Linked DNA regions of Rhinolophus ferrumequinum. Each later gene encodes a partner of the first gene's protein in a complex. Links are inferred from orthologs where the notes say so. Each region holds a gene or a part of one and is shown on either strand. Other genes may lie near its edges. The genes, in order: PSMB10 and PSME4.

Evidence for each region.
Region 2: PSMB10 (region 1) and PSME4 share a complex: the UniProt entries of both Homo sapiens proteins name them as parts of the spermatoproteasome. The link is inferred for Rhinolophus ferrumequinum from reciprocal best matches to the Homo sapiens genes PSMB10 and PSME4.

What each region holds. Positions count from the first base shown.
Region 1 is NC_046298.1:17,478,403-17,486,812, forward strand, and holds PSMB10 (proteasome subunit beta type-10), read right to left. Parts: upstream 3,639-8,410; 5' UTR 3,334-3,638; coding exon 3,278-3,333; intron 3,033-3,277; coding exon 2,945-3,032; intron 2,855-2,944; coding exon 2,757-2,854; intron 2,661-2,756; coding exon 2,520-2,660; intron 2,285-2,519; coding exon 2,169-2,284; intron 2,059-2,168; coding exon 2,000-2,058; intron 1,360-1,999; coding exon 1,208-1,359; intron 1,085-1,207; coding exon 973-1,084; 3' UTR 920-972; downstream 1-919. Other genes in the region: LCAT (phosphatidylcholine-sterol acyltransferase), read right to left, coding at 4,830-5,404, 6,349-6,573, 6,664-6,759, 6,848-6,963, 7,043-7,199, 7,916-8,069. UniProt on the Homo sapiens protein: The proteasome is a multicatalytic proteinase complex which is characterized by its ability to cleave peptides with Arg, Phe, Tyr, Leu, and Glu adjacent to the leaving group at neutral or slightly basic pH.
Region 2 is NC_046296.1:33,423,946-33,432,514, forward strand, and holds the start of PSME4 (proteasome activator complex subunit 4), read left to right. Parts: upstream 1-5,247; 5' UTR 5,248-5,270; coding exon 5,271-5,512; intron 5,513-8,569. UniProt on the Homo sapiens protein: Associated component of the proteasome that specifically recognizes acetylated histones and promotes ATP- and ubiquitin-independent degradation of core histones during spermatogenesis and DNA damage response.

The DNA.
Region 1 (8,410 bases):
TGGATGGGTAGATACGTGGTAAAGCAAATATAACAAAACACTAATTGTAAAGTCTGTGGTGGGTATGTAGGTGTTCAGTGTGTACTTCTTTCCAGTTTGTTTAAAACTATTCATAATTAAATGTTGGGGGGAAAAGCACAGTTGGGCCCAGGGATGTCCAGCCTAGTGTAGACCCTCCCCAGAGGCTGGGCGGCCTCTCAAACAGTTCCAAGGCTCCAGAGGAGCTCAGGCATTCTGAGGGCAGGACGCACCTGCCAGCACCCAGGACCTTGGCCTAGCAGTCAGTGGGTGCTCAGGAAAGGTTTGTTGGATAAATGTGTCACGTCATCTGTCCTCACATGAGCACTGTGACCCATCATCCCAGAAAACTTGAAGTCAGTCCCCCTACTCACAACCCAGCTTTGTGTTAGCACCTCAGTCTGGTCATCAGGACGGTTTCACGGATAAAGGTGTAGCAGGGTGAGTAGTGCTCTGTAAGAACCTGCCCTTGAAAATGGGCAGCTCCTCTGTCAGCACTTTAGCCCTCAATGGGGCCGATGGGGTGGGGGGGGGCTTGACTGAGAGGTGTGGGGTTTGTCCTGGGTCACTGATGAGCCAGGCAAAGGCTCTAAGTGGGGCCTTTTGGGTTTTACAACAGTCCCCAGTGGACTACATGGCAAGATCAAGGCGTGGCAGTGGTAGGGGGAACCTCTATGGTGTGGAGACAGGAGGTGGCTTTCCACCTTGAGCCTGCAATGCTTGCCAGGGCTGAAGTTCTGGAAGAGGGTAGATGCCTAAGGTGATGGGTGAAGGGCACCTCTAAGGCCAGATACTGGAGCTGTGGGAGGGAGTAGTTCCTGCAGGGATACCTTAGCCATAGAGCCCTGCTGGCTGCTTGGCCCCTCCACCCAAGAACCACACAGCCATCTCTTCAGGTGTTTGTATTTTCTGCATTTATTCCCCCTTGTTCCAAGCTCTAAGGCTCAGCCTATTTCACTCCACCTCCATGGTCTGCACAGTTTCCTCCACCAGCTCCAGGGGCAGTGGCACCACTGTCTTGGAAAGGACAGCTGTGGTTCCAGGGGCAAAGCGGTACTGGCCAGGCCTAGGAGGGAGGATGGATGGTATCTCAACATGGAACCAACATGTGGCCCATCTTCTAGCAGCCCCCTAGCTCCCCTGCTACCACCCATCTTCCCATGTAGTCCCACATCTCCGTTGCTCTCACCTTTCTATGGGCTTTGTGGGAGAGCTCAGGGTTCGCAGCAGCTTGGCACCGGTCTCTGTGATCACACATGCATCCACACTGCCCCCGGAGCCCAGGTCACCCAGGATTCCTGCAGTGATGGCTTCCACCAGCAGCCCCTGTGCAGCCTCTAGCTGTGGAGATGTGTGTGTGTGAGGCCCAGTGGACCCTCTGGTGATACCCTCTGGTATCACCCTTAGGCGACAGCCTGGACTGTTAATCGTGAAGCCCAAACTTACCATTTGCTCACACCTAAACTCCTCTCACCCCCTACACCCCCATCTCCCCTCTCCAGCTCTCTGCCTCCCTCTCTCCAGAGATCCCCTGTTCCACTGCCCCCATCTTCAGAAATTTCTGAGTCACTTTCACTTGAGCCTCTGCTCTCAGTGGCCTATCCACCCAACCAATATGGTCTTGGTCCCCAATTCACCGGCTCATTGTCTCTCTTTCTGGGCCTTAGGCACCTTGGAAGCTACACTTCTGTCCCACCCCAAACAAAACCCAGACTCAGACCCCACCTGCTGTTTCCTCCTCCCTCAACTCCAAACGGTCCTGAGCTTTGACTTCTTGGAGCAGTCCAAAGTTTTGGCACCGTTAGTAGTCTGTTGGAACAGCACCTCTCTACCCTCACTTCACTGGCCCCTCTGTCTCCACCTACTTGTCGTCTGCTCTGAGAAGCCTTCCGCGACCTTCCGACTAGGCCAGGGGGTCCCTCTGGGCTCCCCAGCTCCGAGTGCACTTCCCACCAACAACCACGTAAGTGATGTCGCTCACCGTCATGTTCGGCTGGAACCGGTCCTCCAGCACCGCCAAGGCCGCATCCTGGCCGGAGCCTGCAGGCAGGAGGGACATATGAGGTCAGTCGAGGCCGTCCCAACACAAGACAAACGTGAGGCCCGGGTCGCAGGTGCGGGCTTTGTGGGGACGGGACAGAAGCGCTCACCTAGGGCCGTGAAGGGCAGGCGGCTGTAGGAGCCATGGGGGTGCACGCTGTAGAGCTGCGGTCCTGTCACGTCTACGCCGCCCACGACCAGAGACGCACCCACGTGGCCCTGGTACCTTTGCGTAGAGTGACCGTGTTAGGCTGCAAGCTCCGGGACCAAGACCCCGCCCCTGGCTCCGGGCCCCGCCCCTTCCTGCGGTCTGGCGCTTCAGGACTGTTGCCCGGCTCCTCTCAGGCCGGCCTCTTCCGGTCTACCCGGACTCGCAGCCCCGCCCTCCCCCGTCCCACCTCCTCAGCCCCGCCCTCCCCGCAACGACCCCTCCCCAGGGACGTTTAGCTCGGCCCCAGCACCGGAAGAGCGTCTGGCGCAGAATGCGGGTGACGGTAGCTACGCGGGGCTCGCGGCCGGTAGACAGTGCGTGTAGCTCCATGTTGGATGCCACCATCTGCGTGGTCATCTTGGCGTCTGCGGCTACTCCAGCCCCACAACAGCTGAGGGCGAAGGGAGGGTCGGTGTAGGCGGGGCTAGGATGTGCGTGTACCAGGGAGCGGTTCTTGCGTGGGGGAACGGGGCTGGGGAATTCTCACTAGATTTTAGGCGCGATGAAGTGGATCTTCTCGCAGCTCTTGTCCGCAACGACCGAATCGTTAGTGGCCCGCGTATCCGCCCCCAGGATGACCCCGTCCTGGGGAGGGGGGAAAAGAGGCCGTTAGCTCAGTGCCCGCCAGATCCCCGGCCGCTTCTCTAAGCCTCCCCGTTCGAACCCCCTACTCACTCGGAACACAAGACCCGCGATGGTGGTTCCGGTCTTGAGCGCATGAGGGACCCGGAGCCCCGGGAGCGCCCGTTCCAAGGATGAGTTTCTGGAAACGAAAGGGAGTGGCCTATGTTTCGGTTCTTCTGGGACGACCCCCCCCCCCCCCCCCCCCCCCGTCACATTGCCCAACTCCGTCCCGGTCTCCCTCACCTCCCAGAGTAAGTCTGGGAACCCAAGTCTTCCCACACATGTTACCCCCCAGCCCTTCGCCACCAGGAATAAAGGCCCTGCACTCCCGGAAGACCTCACCGAGAGCATAGGCAGCTCGGGACCAACCATCCGCCACCTCACCTCTGGCAGTTCTCGAAGGAGAATCCCCCTTGGGTCTGTAGAGCTGTCTTCAGCATCTTGGGGTGAGCAGGGCAGTCCAGGAATTGGGGGTCGATGGTTAGAGGAGTGAGACCAGCCAGGAGCCCGAAGGGCCAAAGCCTTGTTCTCTGTGGGGCTCCACTGACGCTTCCTGCTTTCACTTTCACCTTTACTCAGAGGACACTGGCGTGTTTTGCTTCTCTTTCGCTTTCACCCTCACTTCTGGTCTTAAGCAGGTTGGGTAGGGGGTGATGTCCCTTGCCTGGCTCTCCATGCTGCTCCCAGGTCCTCTGTCTGAACCGAAGGACATTCCTCTCTTCTGGCCATTGGTCAGCTCCTCCTGCCACTTCCAGTCTAAGCCCCTAGTTGTGCCTCTGACGCCAACTCTAACCTAAGTACCAACATTCTAAGGCTGTCAGACCTTTGCCAGGTCTCTGTCCGCATTATTACAGGTCTCCCAGCATTAGGCCCTTGTCACCCTCCTTTACCCAATTCCTGCCTGTCTCCTGTTGCCTTTGCTTTCTGCCAGAAACCTCAAACACAGAGGCTTAATCCTCAGCAATGTTGATGCTGGTCCTTTCATAGTCCCTATCTCAGGTGCTGTCTTCCCTCTCCCAAGAGGGGCCCCATGGCTTTCCATCTAGTGGCCTGGAGGCATGCTGGGCTCTACCCATGGCTAAGTCTTATTTCACCTCCCAAGTGACCCTTTATCCACGTTTTCCTCCTAACTATTGCCTTTGTCTCAGCCAGCCTCCTCTCTCCTCTGGCTACTGCACTGGCCTCACTGGCTTCCCTACACTTCCTGCCCGCCCTCGTCCCCCCGCCCCCCAGCTCTACCCTGCAGAGAAGGGTCTCTTTCTAGATGGGAAATATGGTCACACTCTTTCCCTGGTTAAACGCTTCAGCAGCTGCACACTGCCCTTAGGCTCAAACTCAAGTCCTTACCGTGACCCATGTTACCCTTCTCATCTGTCTGAGCTCAATGGAGGCAACACCTCCTCTGGGAAATCTTCCCTGACCCAGTACTCAACCCCTTGTTGCTCCCTAAACTTTTTTCTCAGACTACTTAGCTCCAGTAATAATTAAACCATTAGTGAAATGAATGATCTCATTAGTGGCTGTCACGCCGCCAGATTCTAAACTCTTGTGCTTTTGTCACTCACCTAGCACTCAACAGGCCCTGTCTAGAGGTGGGGTCTTGACTGCCCTTTTGGAGCAGGGAGAGATAGCTCAGATCTCCCCCATCCCAAACCTTTGACCCATGTGCCCCATCCCACAGCTGTCCCCAGACCCCACGCCCAGAGAAGAGGCAGACACAAGTCAGGCTGCCTTCCCAGCTCAACCAGAGAGTGGGAAGTTGTATATCTCAGGGTGCCCAGTTCAATCCTAGGCTTTAGCAAAGCCCATGTTGCCTGTGCTCCACAAAGCACTAGGCCTGCGGCTGCTGATGAATGAATCCTGGTGTGCAGACCCTAGTGACCCCCCCTCAACCCACAATACATGTGTCAAGGCTTACAGCAGCAAAGGATGAGCTTTATTCAGGGGGGAGGGGCTCTGGGCTGGCAGCTGGGGGTGTGGAGTTGTTCCGGCGGTAGACACCCAGCAGGATGGCATTGATGTGCTCCAGTGTCTGGTTGCTAAAGACTAGGTTGAGGTGCTCTGTCCCATGCAGAGGCAGCAGGTGCACGGGCTGTGGCTGGAGGCCCTTCCAGTGGGCACAGAGTTTACTGCTGCGCGTGGCCACAGTGTCATCACCATCCTCATAGAGAAAATCCACAGGGTCAGTGTAGGGGAAGCCATCGTCAAAGATGTAGGTGCGGGGCGTGGGCAAGCCCTCGCCGTACAGGCAGTACACTTCCACACCCGGTGCTGGCAGTCCTTCCAGCAGGCTGCGGGACTGGAGCCACATGTACCAGCCTTCCTCAAAGTGCAGGTCTGAAAAGAAGCGCTGGAAGTCATGGCCTGTGTAGTTAAAGGTGGGTGTGGACATGAACACATGGTCCTCAGGCCACACGTGGTTGGCGGGTATCATCCAGGGCGATGTCGTCGTCATGCGTTGCTTTCCTTTCAGCCTGATGCTGGACATGATTGGGATGCCGTGGTTGTCACCTGTGGACATGGAGCAAGGTAGGCAGGGAGCCAGGCCTGGCTGCCCCCGACCCACAACTTGCTGCCCAGCCCACGCTCAGCTGCAGGCTCAGTTTTGTCCCAACCTAATCCAAACATTGGCTCCAAGCCAGACTAGAACAGGCCTAGCATTTAGTAGGTGCTCAATGTATGCTTATTAAATGAGAAGCCCTGAGGGCACCTCTGTGAGGCAGAGCTATAGGGCCTCAAAAAGAGGGCAGGGAGGGGTTTCCTGAGGATGGATGTGTATGTGCAAAAGGTCGGGGTGGGGGGGTGGGGGGTTTAGTGCTGGCAGTTCTCCCTGAGGCAGGTGTGTGTTGGCCCTGTGATCTGTGCTGCACCGCGGTCAGAGCTATGTTCTGGGACGGATGAAATGAGACCGTGTTTGTGTTTGACACTAACTGATGTAGTCTGAGGGTTTCCCTCACCAGACTGTGAGCTACTAGAGGGGAGGCCGAGTCTGGCTGGGCCCAGCATCCACAGTGGGTTCTCAACAGGTAGTAACTGTGGCACTCCTCAGGGAGGGGCTCCTAGGGTCTGGTCCTGGCTTTGGCAGATCTGTCTCCAGTAGGAGAGATCCCCGGGCAAAGGTTCCTGGGAGCAGAAGGCAGCTGAAAGCTGGGTGGGCAGGACCTGAGGCCACAGGAACAAACCTGGGGCAGTGAGTCAGATTGCTGGAGTTCACTTCTCTCTGTTAAACTTCCCTTGTCATCACTGAGACAGACTCTGGCAGGAGTCACTCTAATGGTCCAGGCCAGGCTCATTACTCTTAGGGGGCCAACGATAGAGGCCATGCCCCAGGGGTGGTAGACGACACCCACCGCATGGCATTGTGTGCAGAAGCAGGAGCGAGGGCAGGCCCATGGTCAGCTTCATTCCACCCCTCAACCTCACCACAGCACGCCAGTAATCAGAGCCCGTCTCACCTGAAGCCACGACCAGTAAGGGCTTGATGGAGCCACCCCAGGGAGCCCCAAGAGAGATGAAGCCATCGATGAAGCGATCCTTCCAAGACTGGGGCTGGCGCAGCAAGAAATAGAGCAGGTGCAGGCAGCCAAGGCTGTGCCCGATGAGGAAGACGGGTTTTCCATAAGTAGCATGCATCTCCTCCACCAGCCCAGCGAGCTTCTGGTAGTATTCCTCTTGCTGGCCTGCAGGGGGTGGGAGTGGATGGGGTCAGGGCAGTGGGGTTTAGGGACCACCTGCCCTACCCCAAGCCCGTCATCCTCAAAGACACTCACTGGGTCCCAGCCGCCAGTCATAGGGGGCAGCCCGCACGGTCTCATCCCGCACATACCCGTTGTTGACCAGATTCTGCACCAGGGTGTTCATGTAACCTGTCGGGGACGCAACAGCATTGGGGATCTGGGCATGGCTCCTGCGGCCCAGCACAGGCAGAGCCCTGCGCTTCCCCAGTACACACACCTGCCAGCTTGGTGGCGTCCAAGTACTCAACAGAGTAGGTCTTGCCAAAGCCAGGGACACGGATCTGTACACCAGGGGCGTTGGACGCACGCCCAGAGCTGCGGTTGTAGACAACCCTGGGAACAGTGGGACATTCAGCAGGCCAGTGACCAAGGGACCGGGTGAGGGAGCTGGGACAGAGGGGATGGCGCATACCTGGTGTTATCGATCCAGCAGTCTACCCCAAGGGGTAGGAACATATTGAGATCCAGCCAGATGGTGAAGAAGTCCTCTGTTTTGCGGTAGCACATCCAGTTCACCACATCTGGTTTATCCAGCTTGGCTTCCAGCTGATTCCCCAGGCAGCCAGGCACTGCGGGCACTAGCCTTCACTCTGGATTCCTCGGATTTCTCTCCACCCCCACCATGGTCCCCACCCCATCCACTCCCCCCTGCAGTGACCAGCCCCACCCCTTCAACCCCCAGGGATGAAGATCAAGATCCTCTTTCTGATCACCCCCCAACTCCCCACCCCGTCCCTCCAGCAGCACAAAGCCCAGGCTCCCCCTCAGGCAAGGAAAGTGCAGAGGCCAAGGCTTTGACCTCTGCCCCCCCAAAAGTAAACACCTAGCCTGTCTCCATTACTGCCAAAGTCCAAGGTGAGAATAAGCAGGTATGGGGCAGTGGGGTCTGGGCCTCGGAGTAGGGCAGGCCTTGAGGGGCCTCTCCTGCTCTCCTGGGTTGGGCATCTTATCCCTGCTGGGGTGGGGGCTGAGGAAGGAGTAGTGGGGCTTGGCCGAGGGTTCAGTGGCTGCAGCTGACCACAGCTTGTATTGCCCTGGCCACGCTGTTAGGCACACCCGCCCCCCACTCCACCCACCGGGGGTAGATAACTCAGAGACACAGGAAGTGAGGTGGGGGGAAGGGGTTAATTTCTCTGCAGGAGAAGCCTTTGGCCCCTCCAAACACTGAAGCAGGGATCAGGGCTAATGCAGGGGCAGAGGGCCTTGGCAGGGTCAACTACCAGGGGCTGGGGCCCAAGCTCCCCAAGGTCTGGCCTGCTGCATCAGGGGCCTGGTGGGGGCTTACCGAGGATGACGGGCCTTGTGTGGTTACTGAGCTCAGCCTTGGGCGTGGTTTGCGGGGGAAACAGCACATTGAGGAGCCAGAAGGGGGCGGCAGGGGGGAGCAGCAGCCCCAGCAGCAGCAGCACCCACTGCCATAGGGAGCCGGGCGGCCCCATTCCAGCCCCAGTGCCTACTGCCCAGTGAAGCGGTCTTGGGCTGGCCTTATCTGGAGTGGGGGTAGGAGGGGCCCTGGGGCCAGTGGGAGGGAAAGCCTGGCCAATGGCGGTGGCCAGGGATTGCCGGAAAGGGGCACAGCCTCAGGGAGCCGGCTCTGGGCCTAGGTTCAGTTCCGCCTTCTTCCCGTGGCGCCAGGGGAAACAGAGCCTGGGCAGCAGGAGGCCCAGAAGTACACAATGTTTTATTGAAAAAAGGCAGGCCTCAGCTGGCTGGCTCCATTAGGCTTGGCTTGGTGGGGTCCCTGCCCACAGTAGCCTGAGCCAGGTCTTCCAGCAGGCGG
Region 2 (8,569 bases), on another chromosome or scaffold:
GATAATAGAAAGCATGTCAAAATATGATTATCTGAAGTAAATAAGTATTTCTAAAATGATTAAAGAAGCCATTGGAACCATAAAGAACAAAACTCAATGATAAATAGTATGGGCATATTTATCAAAGTACTAAATAGCACATAAAATTAAAAAATACGACCCTTTGAATTAGAAGATCAATGGTTAAGTTAAACAGCAGATCATATACAGATGAATAAAGAATTCTCAGAACTAGAAATGATAGATCTTGTAAAGTTATTCAGAATGAGGTAGAGAGATAAAGACTTAAAAAATATAACAAATATGGAGATTAGACAGAGAAGGTATAACACATGTCTAATGGGAATTCCACCAGGAGAGGAGAACAAAAAAGTCATGAAAAAAAAAAAAAAGTCATGAAAAGATAATAGATGAAAATTTTGCATAACTGATGAATGATACGAATCTTTTGATTTGAGAAATACATCTTCCCTGCAAGATTAATACAAAGAAGCACACATCTAGTTACACTGCAGTAAAATAGCAAAAATGCCTAACAGAGAAAAAAACCAGTAAAATAATAAAAAATTCATTCCTTTAGCTGTGATTTCCTGCTTGTTAAAAATTGAACATATACTTTAGTTCAAATGAAGTGGATACTATAAATAGATAAAAAGGATTTTTGGATGAAATATTAAAAACTTAAAAATCATATAGGAACTAGAAAAACAGTCATTTTTCAGATCCAATATTCTGGTGTCCTTAATAACTGTAACAGCAAGAGTCTGGATACTTGATTACATTAGATGACTAATTTTTAAAGATTATGCTTTTAAATATTTTTAAAGATTATGCTCTGGCAACAGAGATTCATACACTTGTCAAAACAGCCCCAGTCCCAAATGCATCACATATAGAAAAACTAAGGCAGGAGAAGGCAGGAAACTGTCACTTTTGTTCACTGCTAATAAGTGGATTACCAAGTAGTGGGCCAATAAGTATATCAAAGACATAAATATTTGATTGATAATTATCCCTGCCAATTCTTCCAGCTTGAGAAGAAATCTCTCTCTTTAGAATATTTTCCATGAAGGGCTATTGTACTTTCAGGGTCTTCCAAAAAGGATGATTACAGTTCGCTTCCTCCAAGAGCCTAATAAGAAGCCAATGTCTCCCTCGGGGTCTGACTAAAAGGATAATGTGCGTTAATATCCTTTGGCAGAGTATCCTGAGTTCTAAGAGATTTAAAAAAAAAAAAAATGCTTGGGAGTTGTTGTGAGGAGAAAACTGACCCAGACTTTGGGTTAACTGTCTTCAGGGATGAGTAGCCTGCGTATCCCTGAACAACTTAAAGTCTACCAACTTTCTCACCTAACGGGGTTTTAATAGTGTTTTCTACTAAACTTCACATAAAATAACAGAAAGACTTTATCTCTTTTGCTCCAACAATTCTTTTGACTTTTCCAGTTCAGAAATCCACTCCCAGGAAACTTGACATCACCTGGAACTGCTTCTTTGAAGCTGTAAATCCAACATTTCAGTTCTTCCAGACCCCTTGCCCAGGCTAATCCAGTCATATCGTGCTGCGCCACTTCAGGATCGGAGTCCCTTGATCTCTCTGTTCTCTGCTTGTAGGTCCTCTTCTGTCTTCACTTTGACTTTAAGGGGAGCAGAGTTTGCCACACCAAAATATGCCTTGTTGGGATGTTGATTATTTTAAGCTGGTTATCGTTTAAGAAACAAAAGACTCCAGGAGAACCTTTGACCTTCCCCCTAACTGCCTAAAAAATTTTAGATAGAGGGAGAACCTGCTCCAGTAAGGGAGCTATTATTACAGATAACTACAGTTTAATATGAATTAACTGTGATAAACAGGAAAAAAACTACCAAAGCCTTTGATCAAAGTCTTCTTTGTGGTTTATCGTTAAAATGGGCCAACAAACATCTGTTTACCAAACATTTGCTTTCCCATCTCCATGTGAGTTGCCTTTTTTGCCTTTGAAGCCCCGAACTACAACTCCCCCCTCCCACAAGCCACGCCCCCCCCACAACCGTACCCCTTCACCTTAGTCCAAAATGGCATATAAACCTCAACTGTCAGATTTGTCCTTGGGTCTCATGTTCTTATGGAACTCTGTATGTACATACTTAATAGATTTAGTTATTTTCTCCTGTTAATCTGTCTCTTCAACTTGATTATTAGACCAGCCAGAAGAACTTAGAAGAGTAGGAAGAAACTTATTTTCTTCCCCTACAATTTCAACCAACTTAGGCACTCTTTCAAACATTCTCAACTCAATGATCGATATTTAGAGAAGAAAATTCAATGAGGTAATGTAGGTAAAGCACCGGCTGAGAGAAGTGCTCAGCAAATGGTAGCTAACACCACTACCATCACCACTGCCATCATACAGACCCTTCCCTTGCTCCTTTGTCATTCTATCATACCAGCTTGTATGTATACATTCCTGGGCTGCTAAACATTATTGGAGGAAAAAAATCACTCAATTGTGCAGAGAGACGATAGTGAATTCATGCTTCCAGCACTGTCAAGCAATTCTACTATTTCTCTAATCAGTTTTCTGAATTTTGAGACCACTCTAAACCTTTTCCAATCTCCTCAAATCTTCTACCCATCCCTTCCTCCCATCATTCTCATTCTCTTCATTCAGAGAAAAACAAAAACAGTAATCATCAAAAAGAACTTCTCCAACTTCTGGCCAACAAATCTACAAAACCTTTCTACATTTGCATCTATCCCCCTACTTTTTCCCTCTGACAATGGGAGCAACCTTGTTTACTTCTAAGGACCAATGACTCCGCCTTCTCTTCCACTCTCTGTCATCCTCACCCACACACTCATATCTTCAAACTCTCTCTCCATTGGCTCCTTCTCATCAATATTTAAACAAATTTAAATATATCCCTTGCTCAAAAATTCCTTTTTATTCCAGCTACCTCCTTCTCTCTCCTGTTCTTCCCACACAAAATTTTATGAAAAGGTAGTTCACATTTGCTGCCTCTATTTCCTGTTTGTCCTCTGTCACTGTAATCTGGTTTCCACTCCCACATTCCACTGAAACTGTTCTTATCTGCTTTATCAGTCACTGCAAGGATCCCTTCTCAGGTCTCAGTTGACCTGTCAGCCACCTTCTGTGTAGTTGATCACGTCCTCCACCTGAAACAGTTTTTAGGAATGCCCACTTTCCTAGAATGCCTCCGACCTCTCTGACTGCTTCTTGTGAGTGTTCTTTGGTCTCTCTCCTCTTTCTCTGTCCAGCTTCAAATATGGGGTTCCTCAGAGTTTGGTCAAGGGCCCTATTTTTTTCATATCGTTAAATTAATTAAACAGGAGACCCTTAGTCTGAGGTGGTAGCTAATGCCTTGGCAGCCTACTTCAGCAAATCAAAATTTAAGTGTAAATACCTCAAGGTTATGAAATCTAACCGCTAAGGACAAGCAATCACAAGTAGTCAACTAGGCTTGAAGCTACAGCCAATCAAACAGTTTCTTTCTTTGCTTTCACACCTTCTCTATAGTAAAAGTCTTTCTTCTGGCTCCAGTCAGTGGAACACTCTTAACCATTCCAGGTTTGGTGCTGCCCAATTGGAACAGATTTTTGCTCCAATAAACTCTTCAAAATTTTAATATGCCTTAGTTTATTTGTTAACAATACTCTGCATCTCATTCCCTCCGATCCACATATAGGTTAATCCATATCCCCATTGAGATCATCCTTCCTCATCCATACATCAAAATAGTAATACTTACCTACCCCTTAGGCATTCTGCCTTTAAAGCTGTTTCTGCTATGTTCTCAAGTCAGAAAAGTTTCCACTATTTACCCAGCTTCCCAAACCAGAAATCTGACATCATCCTGTCTCTTCCCTCTCTTTCACTTTTAGTATTAAGCTCAGGCCATTCTTCTTGCTTAAATAGCTCTCAATCATTTCAACTGACATCTAGACCATTGTTATGTCACATTTCCTTAAGGGGTCCTGTATTGTCCAGTATTGTCTGTTCCAATCCATTTTTAGAAATGGATTAGAACCACAAAGCCAGAGTGGTTCTTCAAAAATGTAAATTATATCATGCCACTCTTACGCTTAAAATCTTTCGGAGTTTCTTGTTGCTTTTAAGATAAAACTCTGAAAACATCCTAACACTTCCTTCTGTCTCAATTCTCCACTCCCCTCTCTTGCAAACCATCTTCAGCCATCCTTAACTTTTTGAACTTCTAGGGTGCATGCTTGCAGTCTCTGTGCTGTTCCCTCAGGTGAAATGTACTTTCTCTTCTCTTCTTTTTCTAATCAATTCAGCACTTAAGCCTTTAAACTCAATTTACGTATCACTTCTAGGAAACCACTTGACACCCCTCCAGTTTGAACTCTTTAGCTATTCCCAAGGCGTCCTGTACTTATCTAGCAATTAAAGAGTGTTGTTTTGTAATTGCCTATTCCCTAGTCTACAGCTCTGACTGTAAATGCCCGGAGGGCAGAAACTTGGTGCTCTTTAACTTTCCATCTCAAGTGCAAAGAAGGAGTCTGACACACAAAATAGTGGTACAATTAATATTTGTTGAAAGAATAACTATTTCCTTCTTTGGAATGAGGGCAGCCAGGAGAATACCAGAAAGATGAGGGCTTAAAAGGGACAGAGTAGTGAAAAAAAAAAAAAATCTATAACAAGAGGGATGGATACCGGGTCCCTAGGTTTTTCCATACACGCGGTGTGGGGAACTAGGCCAACTGCCGTGCCGGAGGCAACGGCGACTAAGGGCTCTCGAGAGGCATTCGCCAGGAGCGCCCAACACCGGCCCAGGAAGGACAATAGCTTGGAATTCGGCCTCGTGTTTCCGGCGGGGCAGCCTCGCGTTCGGCCGCTCAGGCCCGAGGGTGGGGGCTCCGAGCCCGGCCCACGGCGACGAAGGCGCGGCCCCCGGGGCTCCCGCCCCCGCCGCCACCACCTCCTCCGACGCCGTCGCCGCGCCCCGCCCCGCCCCGCCCCGGAAGTGACTTGAGGCCCGTCCGGAACCTCCGGGCCCGGCGGCTGCAGCGTCATCAGGCGAGCCGGTGCGGGGCAGGCGGAGCGGCCGCTGCCGCCGCTAACGAATTGGGGATCGCGCGGGACTAAGAGCGAGCCGGCCAGGGGAGGGGGCCCAGCTGTCGGGCCGAGGGCGACGGGCCGCCGGCGGCCTCAGGGCGACGACGACGCAGAGGAGGCGGAGCCCGGAGAGGGGTGGGGGCCGGGGAGGGTTAGGGTGGGAGGGGGTGGAGGGGTGTCCCTGGGCTCATGGAGCCGGCCGAGCGGGCGGGTGGCGGGGATCCCCCGGAGCCAGGCGGGTGTCCCGGGCCGGGCCCGCGGGCCTTCGTCCCGCAGAAGGAGATTGTCTACAACAAGCTGCTGCCCTACGCCGAGCGGCTGGACGCCGAGTCCGACCTGCAGCTGGCCCAGATCAAACGCAACCTGGGCCGGGCCGTGCAGCTCCAGGAGCTGTGGCCCGGGGGCCTCTTCTGGACCAGGAAACTCTCCACGTAAGTGTGACCGGGCCTGCAGGATGGGTCTGGGGCAAAGGCTCAAAGGAACGGCGTTCGGGGGCGGGGGCGGCTCTTTGTCCGCCCCTGATGGCTGGACCCTCAACTCTGACCGTATCGAGCCGGTGCAGTAGTCCCAGGGTCGCAACAGAAGCTTCGGAAGCACTCAAGCCTCCTCCCAGCCTCTTTCCTACGGGACCTCCTCGGTCCTTCTAGTCCTCTACGTCCGCCGTTGGTGCTTTTCCCCAGGGGTTTGGGTTGTTGTCTTCCGACCTGCGGGGCCCCGAGGGAGAGACATGTGCAGTCCCCCAAGGGTCCTTCTTGGATCTTTGCCCCTGCAGGAAGGGGAGCAGAAAGGATTCGATTTCGGCGGAGCAACTCTTGATTTCTCCTAGTTCCTCCAGTTCTTTCTTCCCCATACGATCCCCGACTCTAAATAGCCCTCAATTCGCGTCTAGTAACTTTTTCTGAATGGGAAGGAGGCCGTAGGGAGCTTGCAGGTTCTACATTTTTGGGCCTGCTCGGTCTTTGTGGATTTGATTGAAAAGATTGCTTTAAAATCAGCCCTCAGCGCACACTTAGGCTGCATACTAGACAGTAATGTTGAGAAGGTTGAGTCTTAGAACGGGGAAAGTGTATATTACTTCTGTTTGGAAATGTACAATACTACGGAAAGGAGAGGAGAACTGTCAGGTTGTCCTGGGCGTTATTAGTTATTAGTATTGGGTTTGTTACTTTTTTGAGTTGCTGAGATATAACTGTCGATTACCTAAATCAGTTTCAGGAGTTCTGTTCTTTTATTTTTTTAGCTGCGAACTATAATTGGAGAAATGAGTAAAATACAGTTGTGGGGGGAAGGTTAGAGATTTTATTTGCTAGATGGACATCTTCCCTGTGTCAGAAAAACTTTTTTAAAAAAATTTTGCTTGTCTTGTTTGGCTCATTACATAAAATGTTAACATTGTATGTTCATGCATAGGGGTATGGATGGATGAATACTTAAGACATGTCACCTATCCAGTGTTTACCCAAATCTGCTGAGTGAACTGGGTGATGACTCAGGGTTTTGTAATGCAATAGTCTTCTCTACATTTCCTCACAGGATGATTCTTATATGTCTATTATTAGGGAGCCTCTGATTAATTTCTCATCTTCACTTGGCGGTGGTGGTGGGAACAATTATCCCTTTAATTAAAAAGCAAAACTAAAACAGTTTATTTACCCTTTTCAAAGAGTGACCATAAAATGTCAAGGTTAACATCTCTCCTCTTGGTTGGAGAGTGAAGTTTGTGGTGTTCAGATCCGCAGGAGACATGGGAAAAAAGAAATGCAACAGGGAGAAGAACCACTATTAGTCAAAACAGAGAATGTTTTATAAATAATTAAAATTCACATGATTTTTCAAGTGCACCTTCCTGGGTGTTTCGATTACTCAGGCATAGTAAAAATAAAGTTACTTTGCCAGTTCCAGCAATTCCCCATTTTAATCACTTGTATTGGATTTGCCAGAGAATAACCATTTAGGGGGACACAAACAGCTCCTTTTAGATGTGTAATATATAAATATACCAATTGTGAATGCATGTCTGATTTGGATTAATGAATCTAGAATCTACACAGGCATAGTTAAGTATTGTTTTCTGACATTATTACTAAGCTTGGCAAATTATCACTTAGGGTTTTATTATTTTTGGCTTATTAAGTGAAAACCTAGATAGGGCAAAAAATACAATAGAGACAACCCTTGGTGTTTAGGGCAAGATTGCAGTTTTGTGGCTTAATATTGTGAACTTAAAGCCATTTTATTTCTAAATAACCAGCAAGAAATGCTGTCAGATAGAATTTTATTTTGGAACAGTGGTTAAGTGCTTCAAACTGATTTTTGGGATTGCCCTATGAGACAATTTGAACCCGGTGGGACATGTTGTGATCTTGGGTGTTATTTTTCCTCCTAAGTCATGTTAAGGTGACCTGTTTATAGTTGTGCTTGTTTATTAAGTCTTGTGTGCATTGCACAAGTGTACATCTAAATGATGCCAGAACATGTGATGATAGCTGTGAATTACTTGAGTAGTGATTATATTTTAGTACTTTGTAGAAGAATGGAAAGTAGTAATGAAAATAAAATCTAATTTCTCCCACTAGTTCTGTGACTGTGGAAAGTTACTTTAATCATGTTTTTCAATATTCTTGGGAGAGAAATGAGGAGGTTGGACTGAATAATTCCTGAGAAACAGTCCTGCGGTGGTATTTTATGATTTTATTTTTTATCCTGTAGAGCCTCAAATAAACCAGTGTGTATTTTTCTCCGAGGACTGTGAGCAGTTTGTAAAGTACACAGTACATTCCTAAAGAAGACCAGAGTGTACATGCTCTTCAAAGTCGCTGGGACTGGATCCCCGACCAGAAGTGTACACCCCTAATCTGAGCGTCACAGATCTGGGTGGAGGTAGAGTTCTTTCGAAGACACTCAGCCTCCCTCTTTTTAACGTTTTACCACAGTTTTGTAGATGTCATAATTCTGTTTCAATCCACTTTGAGACTTGTGGGTCTGTTTCGCATCTCTGTGAAGAAAGGTTATTTCTGGGTGTTTTAAAAATTGGTCCTGTGAAATAACACAAATTCTCTTGTACAGACAGTTTAAAGTATTAGCACTTCCTCTTCAAAAGAGATTGTGTAACATAACTCATCCACAGGGCCATTTTCTAAGAAGCAAGGAAACAAATTAGAGAAGATAGACACAAACTACTAGTGGTCTTTGGAAAACAGCAGTAAAGATAGCTGGTAGACAGTAAGTGAAAGGTATTGGCAACTGGAATGGCCCAGGTAGAGAATAAAGGGAGTTGAAGAAAGGTAGTCTTGAAAAATTGCTTTTTCTGCCTTGCCTTTCTTCTGTACCTTTCATGAAGGCAGTGAGGTCTAGTCCTAAGACCTTAGTTTATCTGTACCTGGCTTTGCCACCAACATTATTGTCTTGGTTTTCCTTAAACTCTCTTAGCTTTAGGAAAATGGGAGTGTAAATTATTAGTGTTTTTTCAAACTCAAAACTTAGCAGTG